Linked DNA regions of Xenopus tropicalis. The protein of the gene in region 1 purifies or fractionates together with the protein of each later gene. This does not show direct contact. Links are inferred from orthologs where the notes say so. Each region holds a gene or a part of one and is shown on either strand. Other genes may lie near its edges.

What was found. The genes of interacting proteins can lie anywhere in the genome.
Region 2: the proteins of raf1 (region 1) and cct8 purify together in Homo sapiens (affinity purification with mass spectrometry; 4 studies listed by BioGRID and IntAct, with this or other methods). This does not show direct contact. The link is inferred for Xenopus tropicalis from reciprocal best matches to the Homo sapiens genes RAF1 and CCT8.

What each region holds. Positions count from the first base shown.
Region 1 is NC_030680.2:153,464,298-153,470,652, reverse strand, and holds part of raf1 (RAF proto-oncogene serine/threonine-protein kinase), read right to left. Parts: intron 3,400-6,355; coding exon 3,315-3,399; intron 2,931-3,314; coding exon 2,754-2,930; intron 1,613-2,753; coding exon 1,566-1,612; intron 961-1,565; coding exon 842-960; intron 281-841; coding exon 149-280; intron 1-148. UniProt on the Homo sapiens protein: Serine/threonine-protein kinase that acts as a regulatory link between the membrane-associated Ras GTPases and the MAPK/ERK cascade, and this critical regulatory link functions as a switch determining cell fate decisions including proliferation, differentiation, apoptosis, survival and oncogenic transformation.
Region 2 is NC_030678.2:16,667,249-16,673,603, reverse strand, and holds part of cct8 (T-complex protein 1 subunit theta), read right to left. Parts: intron 5,512-6,355; coding exon 5,421-5,511; intron 4,941-5,420; coding exon 4,861-4,940; intron 4,724-4,860; coding exon 4,574-4,723; intron 4,484-4,573; coding exon 4,303-4,483; intron 4,221-4,302; coding exon 4,159-4,220; intron 3,544-4,158; coding exon 3,406-3,543; intron 2,813-3,405; coding exon 2,634-2,812; intron 1,565-2,633; coding exon 1,498-1,564; intron 1,116-1,497; coding exon 1,028-1,115; intron 369-1,027; coding exon 253-368; intron 164-252; coding exon 92-163; intron 1-91. UniProt on the Homo sapiens protein: Component of the chaperonin-containing T-complex (TRiC), a molecular chaperone complex that assists the folding of actin, tubulin and other proteins upon ATP hydrolysis.

The sequences.
Region 1 (6,355 bases):
AAATTTGAGAGCTGCTGAAAGTCCTAAAATCACAATAAATACAAAATAAAGGCCAAATGCAAATTGCCTGAGATTATTACCGTATGCACTATAATAGTCAATTAAAGGGCAAGTAGTCCTTGATGCGCACAGTGTAGGTGTCACTCACCTGGTCCCTGTCCCTAATGTGGGAGTAGGGCAGCTCCCCGGTCATAAGCTCAAACAGCACGATCCCATAGGAATAGACGTCCGACTGGAAGCTGAAGGGGTTATTGTCCTGCATGCGGATCACTTCTGGGGCCTGTGGGGCAGACAGGGGGCAGTTTAACTACAAACCTTGGGCATTTAGTGGTTAATGCAGTGGAACATACAGTAACTATGGCATCCACAGGTGGGGGTGCCTTAAACCTTGTGCCCCCCAAGAAGGAAAGGCAGCCTCTGATTCGTCACAGCCCCTAAGTAAAAGGAGAGACAGCCCATCTGCTTGGGGGCGTGGCCAGCAATTCCCCGCCCCATATTATGAATGTGACCTAAAAGCTCAGTCCTAAAAGTAGATGCAGAAACCCAGTGACACAAATGGAACAAATAATCCTGTGTTTATTGGGTAGAAATGGGCCCAATATCTGTTCTGCCCCTGTAAGGGCCACATCACAGGGCAACTATATCCAATCAGAGGCAGACACAGCTCAGCCCCCTCTCTCCCATAGGCCAGATACAAAGAATGAACCGCCACTCTCTAAATGCTCCAGGTAAAACAGAAGCCCCTCCCAGTGCCCCTCCCAGTGCCCCCATATGAGCTGTACCCGGGCAGTCCCTACAAGTTGCCCACAAGTAGCCCTGTATTACAGAGCCCCATCCTTACCATCCACAGTATGGAGCCTGTCGGTTGCTCCACCTGCTGGGAACCGCTCCACCTGCTCTTTACCGTGGCCAATCCAAAGTCTCCGATTTTCACGGTTAACCCCTCATGGAGAAAGATATCTGTCCAGCGAATCAAGGCCCACAACTGAGCTCTGACAAGGTCACATGCTGCACAGTGACCAATGCCCAGTCACAGGAGTCATTACTGGCTCCGAGCGGGATATCATGGTACCCAAGTACATAAGCAGAAAGTAACTGCCCCCCAGGCACCAAACAACTGCTCCCCCATCCTGCCCCACAGCACCCAAGAATTACCTGCTCCCTGATAAAATATCTATAAGGGGGGCCCGCAGGATTAATTCAAATGTGATTACATGTTAAAGGTGACCAACTGCAACTATTCCCACCAACAGCAGCCAATGTTCCCCCACCCCCCTTTAGCTGGGGAGATCTATGCCCCAGATGATGCCCCAAGTAGCCCCCCATTTTCTTTTCTGCCGATTCCCAGCACATGCTCTGTGCTGCTGTCAGTTACCTGCGCTTAGGGACCCCCCACTACATTATACAGTATATAGTATATACACACAATACCGCTCCCAATATACAGATATACACACACACACTTTAGCAACAAATGAAACAACTGTGGGTAGGTGGGTAGGGTGCAGGGCACAGGCAGGGGGGGGGCCTGGGGCTCAGCCTGGCACAGAGGGCAGAAAGGATACTGTTGGATTTCATGTCCCGGTGGATAATATTCTTTGCATGGAGGTAACTGAAAGACAAGCAGAGAGACAATGAGACAAATGCTGTAAGGAGAGATTCTGCCGGTAATTACACTGCCTGTAACGAGCGCTATCCCACTGCCGGTAATTACACTGCCTGTAACGAGCCTAGAGTTTCCCAAGTTGCACAATTCTAAAACAACCATTATTTTGCCATTTTCCATTGAATTTTCAGTTCTAAGCTACAGCAGGTTAACTGGGCAAGGAGAGAGAGGCCAGGAAGGCAGAGACAGACCGGCAGAGAGAGGCCAGGAAGGCAGAGACAGACCGGCAGAGAGAGGCCAGGAAGGCAGAGACAGACCGGCAGAGAGAGGCCAGGAAGGCAGAGACAGACCGGCAGAGAGAGGCCAGGAAGGCAGAGACAGACCGGCAGAGAGAGGCCAGGAAGGCAGAGACAGACCGGCAGAGAGAGGCCAGGAAGGCAGAGACAGACCGGCAGAGAGAGGCCAGGAAGGCAGAGACAGACCGGCAGAGAGAGGGCAGGAAGGCAGAGACAGACCGGCAGAGAGAGGGGCCAGGAAGGCAGAGACAGACAGGCAGAGAGAGGCCAGGAAGGCAGAGACAGACAGGCAGAGAGAGGCCAGGAAGGCAGAGACAGACAGGCAGAGAGAGGCCATGGAAGGCAGAGACAGACAGGCAGAGAGAGGCCATGGAAGGCAGAGACAGACAGGCAGAGAGAGGCCAGGAAGGCAGAGACAGACAGGCAGAGAGAGGCCAGGAAGGCAGAGACAGACAGGCAGAGAGAGGCCATGGAAGGCAGAGACAGACAGGCAGAGAGAGGCCAGGAAGGCAGAGACAGACAGGCAGAGAGAGGCCAGGAAGGCAGACAGCCAGGCAGAGAGAGGCCATGGAAGGCAGAGACAGACAGGCAGAGAGAGGCCAGGAAGGCAGAGACAGACAGGCAGAGAGAGGCCAGGAAGGCAGACAGCCAGGCAGAGAGAGGCCAGGAAGGCAGATTTATACTAGTGAGTCACAGCAGGTCCCAGCAGGACACATACAGGACCCCATAGAGGGAAGGGATCACCCAAAGATGCTGAACATGAATGGCCGAGTATAACAAACTCACAGCCAGAAAGCATTCACTAGTCCCCCCAATAAGTAGAGGGGTGCCCCCCACAGGGCAGTACTTACTCCATCCCTTGTGCCGTTTGCCTGGCGATGTCGATGAGCTGGAACATCTGGAACTTGGTCTCGAGGACATGGAGATGTTTGTACAGGCTGCTCCCCTCACACCATTGCGTGACGATGGCCAGATTCTCCTTGGTCATGTAGCCCATGAAAAGCAGAATGTTAACGTGCCGCGTTTTCCTTTGGGACAGGATAATAATACGGAGAGAAATGGGGTTATGGGAGTTGCAGTGAGGCAGCAGCGCCTGTTGTTCTGCTATGGAGCAATGGGGTCTGGCATACAGACGTAAACCTAATTAACAGCTTATTGGCCCCTGAATGGGGCCCTCGGAAGGACCTACCCAACTGATATCTTTTTGGTAATTGGGCAGTAGCACATGCGTGCATAGCAGGTTTCTGTAGGCCGGCAGTATGATAGGATTATTGGGCCAGTACCTGGCTAACCAGCTCAGCATGCAAGTGGCAAAGTCAGGGAGAGTTGTCGGTGCCCAGCCAAGCTACACTCAGTAAGGTAGAAAGAGCCAATCAGATGGTTAGCTCTTGGGCAGATCGTCCAGGACTCACCTAAGTACAGCAACTTCATTCCTGAATGCCTGGAGCTGCTCTGGCGTTGGATTGGTCACCTTCAGGATTTTCACTGCCACGTCCCCTGCCAAACAGAACAAGCGATTAGAGTGAGTAACATCATATATATTATACACAGGGTGGGGGCCGCTGATGCGCTCATTCATAACTAAGCCACTAGGGGGCGCCGCTGGGGATGCAATACTGCACAGCAGGTCATATTGACATATTGGTACAGCAATGGCTGCTCACCCCACATCTCCCAGCATGCTTTGGTACAGCAATGGCTGCTCACCCCACATCTCCCAGCATGCTTTGGTACAGCAATGGCTGCTCACCCCACATCTCCCAGCATGCTTTGGTACAGCAATGGCTGCTCACCCCACATCTCCCAGCATGCTTTGGTACAGCAATGGACAAAAAGCTGGTACAATGGCAGCTCCCTGCAAAAGGTAGTTTTTCTTGGTGTGTTGGTATGGGCAGCTTATGTCTCCATGCAGTGTAACAAGCCCAGTAACACGGGGGGGCAGCCAGGAAATCCCACCGCGTGACAGACACTCCCGAAACCCTTGCCCAAGTGGGACATTCTTCATGTCAAGTACAAGGAGAACATTTGGAGCAGACGTCAGGAATCCACATGATGTAATTCCCAATTTAGGGACAACGCCCGAAGTTACAGCCACTGGCCAAAATCTTATTTTGCTTCCTTCTCCTTTCCATGAACCGATACCGGCCCCGGCCCAACAGCTTACATGCACAGAGGGTAGTGCTGGGCGGTATGACCAAAAATTTATATCACGGTATTTTTCAAAATTATATCGGTATCACGGTATTTGACGGTATTTTTTTTCCCCCATGCATGATTAGGTGACCACCCCAAACACCCGCCACCCGCACCCCCCACCACCCCCCCATCCGCACGCAGCCCCCCCACCCCCCCATCCGCACGCACGTCCCCACCCCAAACACCCCCCCATCCGCACGCACCCCCCCCACCCCAAACACCCCCCCATCCGCACACACCCCCCAACCCCACCCCAAACACCCCCCCATCCGCCACACTCCCCCCAACCCACCCCAAACACCCCCCCATCCGCACACTCCCCCCCCAACCCACCCCAAACACCCCCCCATCCGCACACTCCCCCCAACCCACCCCAAACACCCCCCATCCGCACACACCCCCCCCACCCCAAACACCCCCCATCCGCACACACACCCCCATCCGCACACCCCCCCCACCCCACCCCACTCCAAACAGCCCCCCATCCCCTTCACATAAATATAACCCCCCACCCCACCACAACCCCCCCAAACACAACCCCATCCCCTTCACATAAGTATAACCCCCCCATCCCCTTCACATAAATAACACCCCCCCATCCCCTTCACATAAAATATAATTACTTGCCAGGCACCCCCACCAGCTCACATTGGTATCCGACTCTGAATGCGATGGCGCTTTTGTAGAGTGTGCGCGCTGACGTCACGTGCGCGCTGACGTCACGTGCGCGCTGACGTCACGTGCGCGCTGACGTCACGTGCGCGCTGACGTCACGTGCGCGCTGACGTCACGTGCGCGCTGACGTCACGTGCGCACTGACGTCACGTGCGCACTGACGTCACGTGCGCACCCGGAAGTATTCAAGCACACCGGTATGGGGGTATGTAGAAAATACATATCGGTTTAAAAAAAAACACCGGTGATCGGTTTTTACCGGTATACCGCCCAGCACTAACAGAGGGGACCCCAATGCTTCACGGAACTAATGGCCCCGGGGATATCACAGTGCTGCAATGGGCACAAGATCCTTCTGAACAGCCATGTACCCCCAGCACTGGCACACAGCCAGGGAGCTGGGAAGTTGTGCCCCCCCCCCCCCCTCCCTGAATCAGTGGTACTGGCAGATACATTAGATAGGTACAAGGAAGGGGAGTTACAGGGGGGCTGGGAAGTTGTGGGATCCCCCCCCCTGAATCAGTGGTACTGGCAGATACATTAGATAGGTACAAGGAAGGGGAGTTACAGGGGGGGCTGGGAAGTTGTGGGATCCCCCCCGAATCAGTGGTACTGGCAGATACATTAGATAGGTACAAGGAAGGGGAGTTACAGGGGGGGGCTGGGAAGTTGTGGGATCCCCCCCCTGAATCAGTGGTACTGGCAGATACATTAGATAGGTACAAGGAAGGGAGTTACAGGGGGCTGGGAAGTTGTGGGATCCCCCCCCTGAATCAGTGGTACTGGCAGATACATTAGATAGGTACAAGGAAGGGGAGTTACAGGGGGGCTGGGAAGTTGTGGGATCCCCCCCCTGAATCAGTGGTACTGGCAGATACATTAGATAGGTACAAGGAAGGGGAGTTACAGGGGGGGCTGGGAAGTTGTGGGATCCCCCCCCTGAATCAGTGGTACTGGCAGATACATTAGATAGGTACAAGGAAGGGGAGTTACAGGGGGGGCTGGGAAGTTGTGGGATCCCCCCCCTGAATCAGTGGTACTGGCAGATACATTAGATAGGTACAAGGAAGGGGAGTTACAGGGGGGCTGGGAAGTTGTGGGATCCCCCCCTGAATCAGTGGTACTGGCAGATACATTAGATAGGTACAAGGAAGGGGAGTTACAGGGGGGCTGGGAAGTTGTGGGATCCCCCCCCCCTGAATCAGTGGTACTGGCAGATACATTAGATAGGTACAAGGAAGGGGGTTACAGGGGGGCTGGGAAGTTGTGGGATCCCCCCCCCGAATCAGTGGTACTGGCAGATACATTAGATAGGTACAAGGAAGGGGAGTTACAGGGGGGCTGGGAAGTTGTGGGACCCCCCCCCCCTGAATCAGTGGTACTGGCAGATACATTAGATAGGTACAAGGAAGGGGAGTTACAGGGGGGCTGGGAAGTTGTGGGATCCCCCCCCCCTGAATCAGTGGTACTGGCAGATACATTAGATAGGTACAAGGAAGGGGCGGATGCTTTATTTAATATTAGCTCCTCCCAGCAGACAGGAAGCAGCCAATATGATTAGAGGAAAGAAGGTTCCATGTTA
Region 2 (6,355 bases), on another chromosome or scaffold:
CTGCAATGAACAAACAGGAGATAGACTGTAATGGGATCTCTGTGGCTTGTACTCTGTTGTCGTGGGAGGTACAGTTCATATGCAGGTTTACCTCTCCATAAGATGTGATCTGTTTTGCCAACTCAACTTCAGTGGCTCCGCCTCCAGGCACAAGGCGCTTGTCCTATAATGAACGAGAAACACAAATAAACATGGTTTGGTCCATACTGAGTACTGTTTGTGGGCTGCAAGTGCGGAGGAAACATCACTGACCCTTGTGAGGATTTTGAAAGTATTCACGGCGTCATCTACTGCTCGTTCCACATCGTCCATGAGATTGTCTGTAGAGCCACGGATCACAACCGTAGCAATGGCGCCGTCTTCCTTTTCTAAGGGAAGAGCAATGGAGAGAAATCAGGAAAATTCGAAAATGTGAAAGGTAACATGAATAAAACATTAACTGCACTGCTGCCTTTAAAGGGAAAGTTTGTTTCCATAATAAAGATACACCTTAATTTAACCAGAAAGGACAAGGACTCCCACTGAATACAGTAAGGATTCTGCACACAGATTAGGCACCTCCCTCCAAACCCAGACTGTAAAGGTGGCCATACACGTAAAGATCCATTCGCTTGGCAAGGTCACCAAGCGAGCGGATCTTCTTCAGATATCCCCACCTACGGGTGGGCAATATCAGGGAAAATGTAGGCTAATTCGATCGTTTGGCCCTGGGGCCAATGGGGCAGACAGTTCGGGGATCGCATCAACGAGCCGATGTGGTCTCCGATCCAAAGAAATCTTTTAACCTGCCTGATCAATATCTGCCCAATTTTAGGCCAGATATCAGTCGGGCATGCCCCTTGTTCCTGCCCCTACACAGGCCAATAAGCTGCTGAATCAGTCCAAGGGACCGATATCGGCAGCTACAATTGGCCCGTGTATGGCCACCTTTACACACTAGCTGCACTCCCATTTCTTGTCTGTGAGAAGGAAAGGGGTGACCTGTGTTAGAGCCAATAGAAAGCAAGGGAAACATTAAATAACATACCGTGCTTGAACACAACAACCTGTGTATCCCCAACTTCTGACAAGTAAACACTGTCACAGCGCCCCATTTCCTCTGCTGTAGGAGGGGTCTGTAAGAGAAAAACGTGTTTGTAGAGGATTAAATATTTTTATGGTTAGAGAACAACCTTAATAACCAAAGACTGGGAAACCTAGCCCTAAAATAAATATATACACCTATAAAAGTCTGGTTCGCATTAATGATGTACAGGTCGACAAATATCTGTGCTCCAACCCTAACCCATACCTGATCCAACTGCTCTAAGGCCTAATTATTCGACTGCACTGTAATATTTTCTGGGGTGATAACTGGCAAAGATTACCAGATATTTCTATTTACACACAGCTATGAGTACATACATGTCTCTACCATGTTGCCACACATGCTTCCACATTCATGTCAGTTGCATGAAGGGCACTGGGTATTTCAGCAGCTGTATATGCAATACTTACCAGCCTGGGAAGGGCAGTTCCACACACAGTTTTGCACAGTCTTCTAAGATCCCATTTGGAGTTTAACCTAAACGAATAGAAAATGCATCTATAAGACTGCTAATATAGCTAATAAACATCAACTCTGCCTGGTAGCCAACCTCATATTATACTAATCAGACTGGGACCAGTCACACAGTGCTAAAGTTTTACTGTATCAGATACAAATAGAGGGGTGCTACTCTATGTTAGAGACACAAATCCTTCACTGATTATTTTATACTATTTAGGGTTACTGTATATACTCGAGTATAAGTCGATCCGAATATAAGCCGAGGTACCTAATTTTACCTAAGAAAACTGGAAAAACCTATTGACTCGAGTATAAGCCATGGGTGGGAAATACAGCAGCTACTGCTAAGTTTCAATAATCAAAATAAATACCAATAAAATTACATTAAATGAGGCATCAGTGGGGTATATGATTTTCAATATTTATTTCAAAGAAAAACAGTACACTAGCTCTCTAAGTGGAGAAGAGGGACAACTACAACAATATGGTATCAACAATGATACCTTAAGAGTATTACATCCCCTTAGCTCAATCAGCAACCAAGCTAAAACACAGTTAAAATCCTTCAAAACTATATATAGTTTATATAGAATATAAAGTGCAATGTCTAGTGCAGAATGGGACAGGTGAGGATGGTAGATAAATTTGAGAGAGGCCAGGGCACTGGAGGGTCTGGTTGTGGGTGGTTTAATTTGCACACAAAAGGAAAAGAAGGGTGCCAGTCTGGAGGGACCCATGACACCCGACCCAAGTATAAGCCGAGGATGACTTTCAGCACATTTTGGGTGCTGAAAAACTAGGCTTATACTCAAGTATATACAGTACTTTATATAAACATAATAGTATCTGTACTACTTTGCCACTAAGGGAGGTGTGTAGAGAAACTACCATAATAGAAGATGCAGTTTCCTGCCTGGAAAGTCTCCAGAGAACCCTGACTGACTGGCCAACCTACCCGGCGGCCATATAAATCTGGACTAAGGGATCTTATGGCAGGGACATAATAGGGACACAGCAGACAAAATGGTGTTTGATGGTAATCTATAGAGGCGCAATGTCTTATCGGGCAAAACACAGCACTTACCTTACTACCATGAGGTTGTACTTGTTTGCGTAATGGAGAGCCATGTCAGCAACTTTGCCCCCTGTCACAAGAACAGTGGCCCCTGCTTCTGCGATTGCCTTTACTTGCTCTTCCATGAGATTCTCTTCGCCTTTGCTGAAGTTCATCAGTTCCTGCGCGCTGTTTATCAGCACGGTGCCCTATTAAAACATACCAGCAATTTCACTCGAGATTTCTTCCATTAAATAATCAAACCATTTCCATTACCCATACAGCCTTGCTCTAGGGTCCCTGGCGAGGCAAGAAAGCTGCCACCTTCAATCTGTTACTCTCCAGTTATTGTTGAGCTACAACTCCCAGAGTTCAAAATTGAACCCTGAAGTCTATACATATTACTAAATGCCTTTTAACCTTACTCTGAAGGTGTGGCTATAATTCTGGAGGTCCACGAAAAATGCCCTTTATGCTACAACCAGATCTGGCTATAAACTTGTCTTAATGATGTCTAATATATGTTGTAGATAAAAAAAAAACCTTTAATATTTTATACAACAGCAGACTTCCCATGACGTGCAAAAACAAAAAGAAGCCAGAAATGGATACATTTATGACCCGCTCTATAAATGGAGTACTACTAGCACTGTAGGTTGCATGATCTATGGCAGCAAGGGGAAATAATCCTCGCCGAATAGCATCTGATTTAGCTATGATATGGTTTTAATGGAGAGAATCTGGTAGAATCAGGGTTGTCCCACCCAGAGATAAAGCCAATATGTTGCACCGCCTCACATACCTTAGTTTCAGTGATCATGCCGTCGAATGGACAGGAATAGATTGCGATTTTGGCATCTTTCACAGAAGAAATATTGCCTTCTGCTTCCTTTTTGAAAACCATGCCGTGCAAGACAGACGAGGCACAGATACCTGAGCCCTGCAAAAGTCACAGTAAACCCCAGGATTACTTACAGAAGATACTTTGTTTGATTTCAGCAACTAGAGTGCAACCTCGACTTTGTATTCCAGGGTCGTAGGGGTTAATGGGATGCAAAAGCCAGGGAGGTATATTTAAAAATTAATACGATCTGTAAAAATTGCCCCTTTATTGGAGCTCCCTATAGATCCTCTCAGGTCCCTGTCTGTGTTTCAAATGAGGGGTGGGCGTGTCCTAATGGTCCCTGCCAGAAGCACAGTGGGAGGGGCATAGCCAATCCCAGCCCTAAAGTCACACAAGCAGACAGGCTTCAGTTCCCTATCAGGTAAGCCTAGCTGCTGATTGGTTCCAGTGCTGGGTGTTGCCGGCCCTCCTGTACAGCTTGGGAAAGGAGGCAGCAGGAAATGGCACAGATGGGTGGGGCTAGTAGCCTTTTGGGAGAAATTTTTTTTTTAAAGCCCATTCCTTCTATATTTAGATGAGTGCAAATCATTGGCACAATCCTGTTTTTCACACAATATGTCCCCTTTAAAAATCAGGTGTCAAATATAGAGAACTCTAAAACCAAGGAATTCTAAGGGAGTCACCCCTAGGTTGTAGATGTGTCTCACTTACCAAAATCTTGCACACTCTGATGTTATCAACATTAAAATGGCCAGACTCGGGCAGGATGGAGACTAAAAGAAGAACGGAGCTCATTACAATAACAAAGGGTATATGGGCAGTCACAGACAGTAAATCCCTGGGACATATACTTACCACATGCCTGGGCAATGAGCTTAGAAAGGAAGAGCTCGTTGCCATACTGCTTGCTCATGATGGAAGTCTGAAGAAGGGACGCAACTTCATCAATGTCACGTAAGTTCTTGGCAGAGCTGCACACCAGGTCGGGGAGGATTTCCAAGGCTTTCTTACAGGCCTTCTCATAGCCTTCGATCACCTTTAGAATCACAACACAGTAAATGTAACATTTTTCTGCCAGCTCTCATATCCACCCATTAAACTTAACTGAGTTGAAAGTATATCCTACCTCGGATACAGACAGTCCCATTCGCAGAAGCTCTTCTGCCAGCTCAAGTAAAGCGCCAGCAAAGACCAGAACAAAATTAGTGCCGTCTCCAACTTCCTGCTCTTGCATGTGGGAAGCCATGACAACCATTTTGGCAGCCGGATGCTGGACCTGCAGGTAACAACACTGAGTTATCAATCACTTCCAACCCCCAATGCTCAATGTATCTGATCAAGGAGACTGGTAGCCAACCAATGAGATGGCTTCTTTCCCATGCTGATAGTAACATAAATGTGCTTTTTACCCACCTCTAGCTCCCGTATAATGGTGGCAGCATCATTTGTAACAAAAAGCTTCTCCAAATGATTGATAACCATCTTGTTCATTCCTAAATGATACAAAAAGAAACAACATTATTACAGACAGCCAAACAGTCTACAGGGCGGTGTAGCAAAGAGTTCAAGAAACGAAATCCCAGAACCTTTTAGTCGAAGGAACTTGCCGATATACATTCATTGAACCTTTTCACTATGTGTAAATGTAATTGCTATGGAAAGCAGTGCGTGTCTGGCTGCTTATATTCTCTGCTTTGCTGGTTCTGACTCATGAAATAATGTAGTAGGCCTGCCGATTTACAGGCCCACAGGAGAACTAAAATCTTCTACAATGGCTTGGGAGCAAGAACTGGAGAAATAAACATACACGACTGCACTTACATATCTGTTATAGCTCACAACCACTGAAAGTGCTTAATTCTTGTAAAGTGAAGCACTGACTGAAATAACATTTTCTTACTTTGTGCAAAAAGCATTTCTTGAGTCAGTATTCCCGCAACAGACAAAAAGAAAATACCCATGAGACAATTTACCATTCGGCCCATACGCTGTGCGAGTAGTCTGAGCGAGCTCTTTACAGGCCTGGATATTCCGGAACACTGCTTCTTCCAATCCAGAATAGTGCTGCGAGAGAAATAAGAAAGCATGCAGCTCACTTAGTATAGCCACCAACAAATATTTATTTATTTATATAGCGCCAACATATGCCAATGCGCTGTACAGAGATATATATATATAGTAGAAAGTGAAGATGTCCCGCACTCACAGGTCTTAGGTTAAATAAAAGGAGTTTATTCAATCCACGCCTTTTATTTAAAGAGCAAGTAAAGTCGATTACCATTGCACAACTTAGCAAAACTTAGTTTACATCCTGTGCATTCTAACACTGCAATGTTCTAATTTAAGTCCCCTGTAAGGAAATATCTACTTTAAAATCAACCATGTACCTCCACTTCTTTGTATGGCACTGCTCTCCCAGCCTCCTCCCAAGCATCGCTGTCCTGGACAGTGTCTGAAACGAAGCATGCGCAGTATGCGCTCCTGCACACAGCATGAAGGGTCACGGGTCATAATCACGGGGTCAGTGGGTGGATGCGATGCTGGAGCATGCGCATTTTGACACTCGTCGTGAAGCCAGAAGCAGGGGGAATTAAAGATGGCGGCGCGTACCAGCAGAGTGAGTGAGGATGCATAAAAGCGATTTTACAACAAACGGTACATATTTTGCTGGTTTTGATTTAGCGTCCTACTCTGTCTGGGGTCTGTATAAGTGCACAATAAAGGATTTTAATCTGCTTGCCTTGCTCTTTAATCTAAGACCTGTGAGTGCGGGACATCTTCACTTGCTACTATTCCTTAATCTGTTGGGACTGCACCCAGGCATCGCTACTCTTTCTGCGATATGAGTGCCTGTCTACAAGCCAAAGAGAGATATATATATATCTTTCCAATCAGTCCCTGCCCCAGT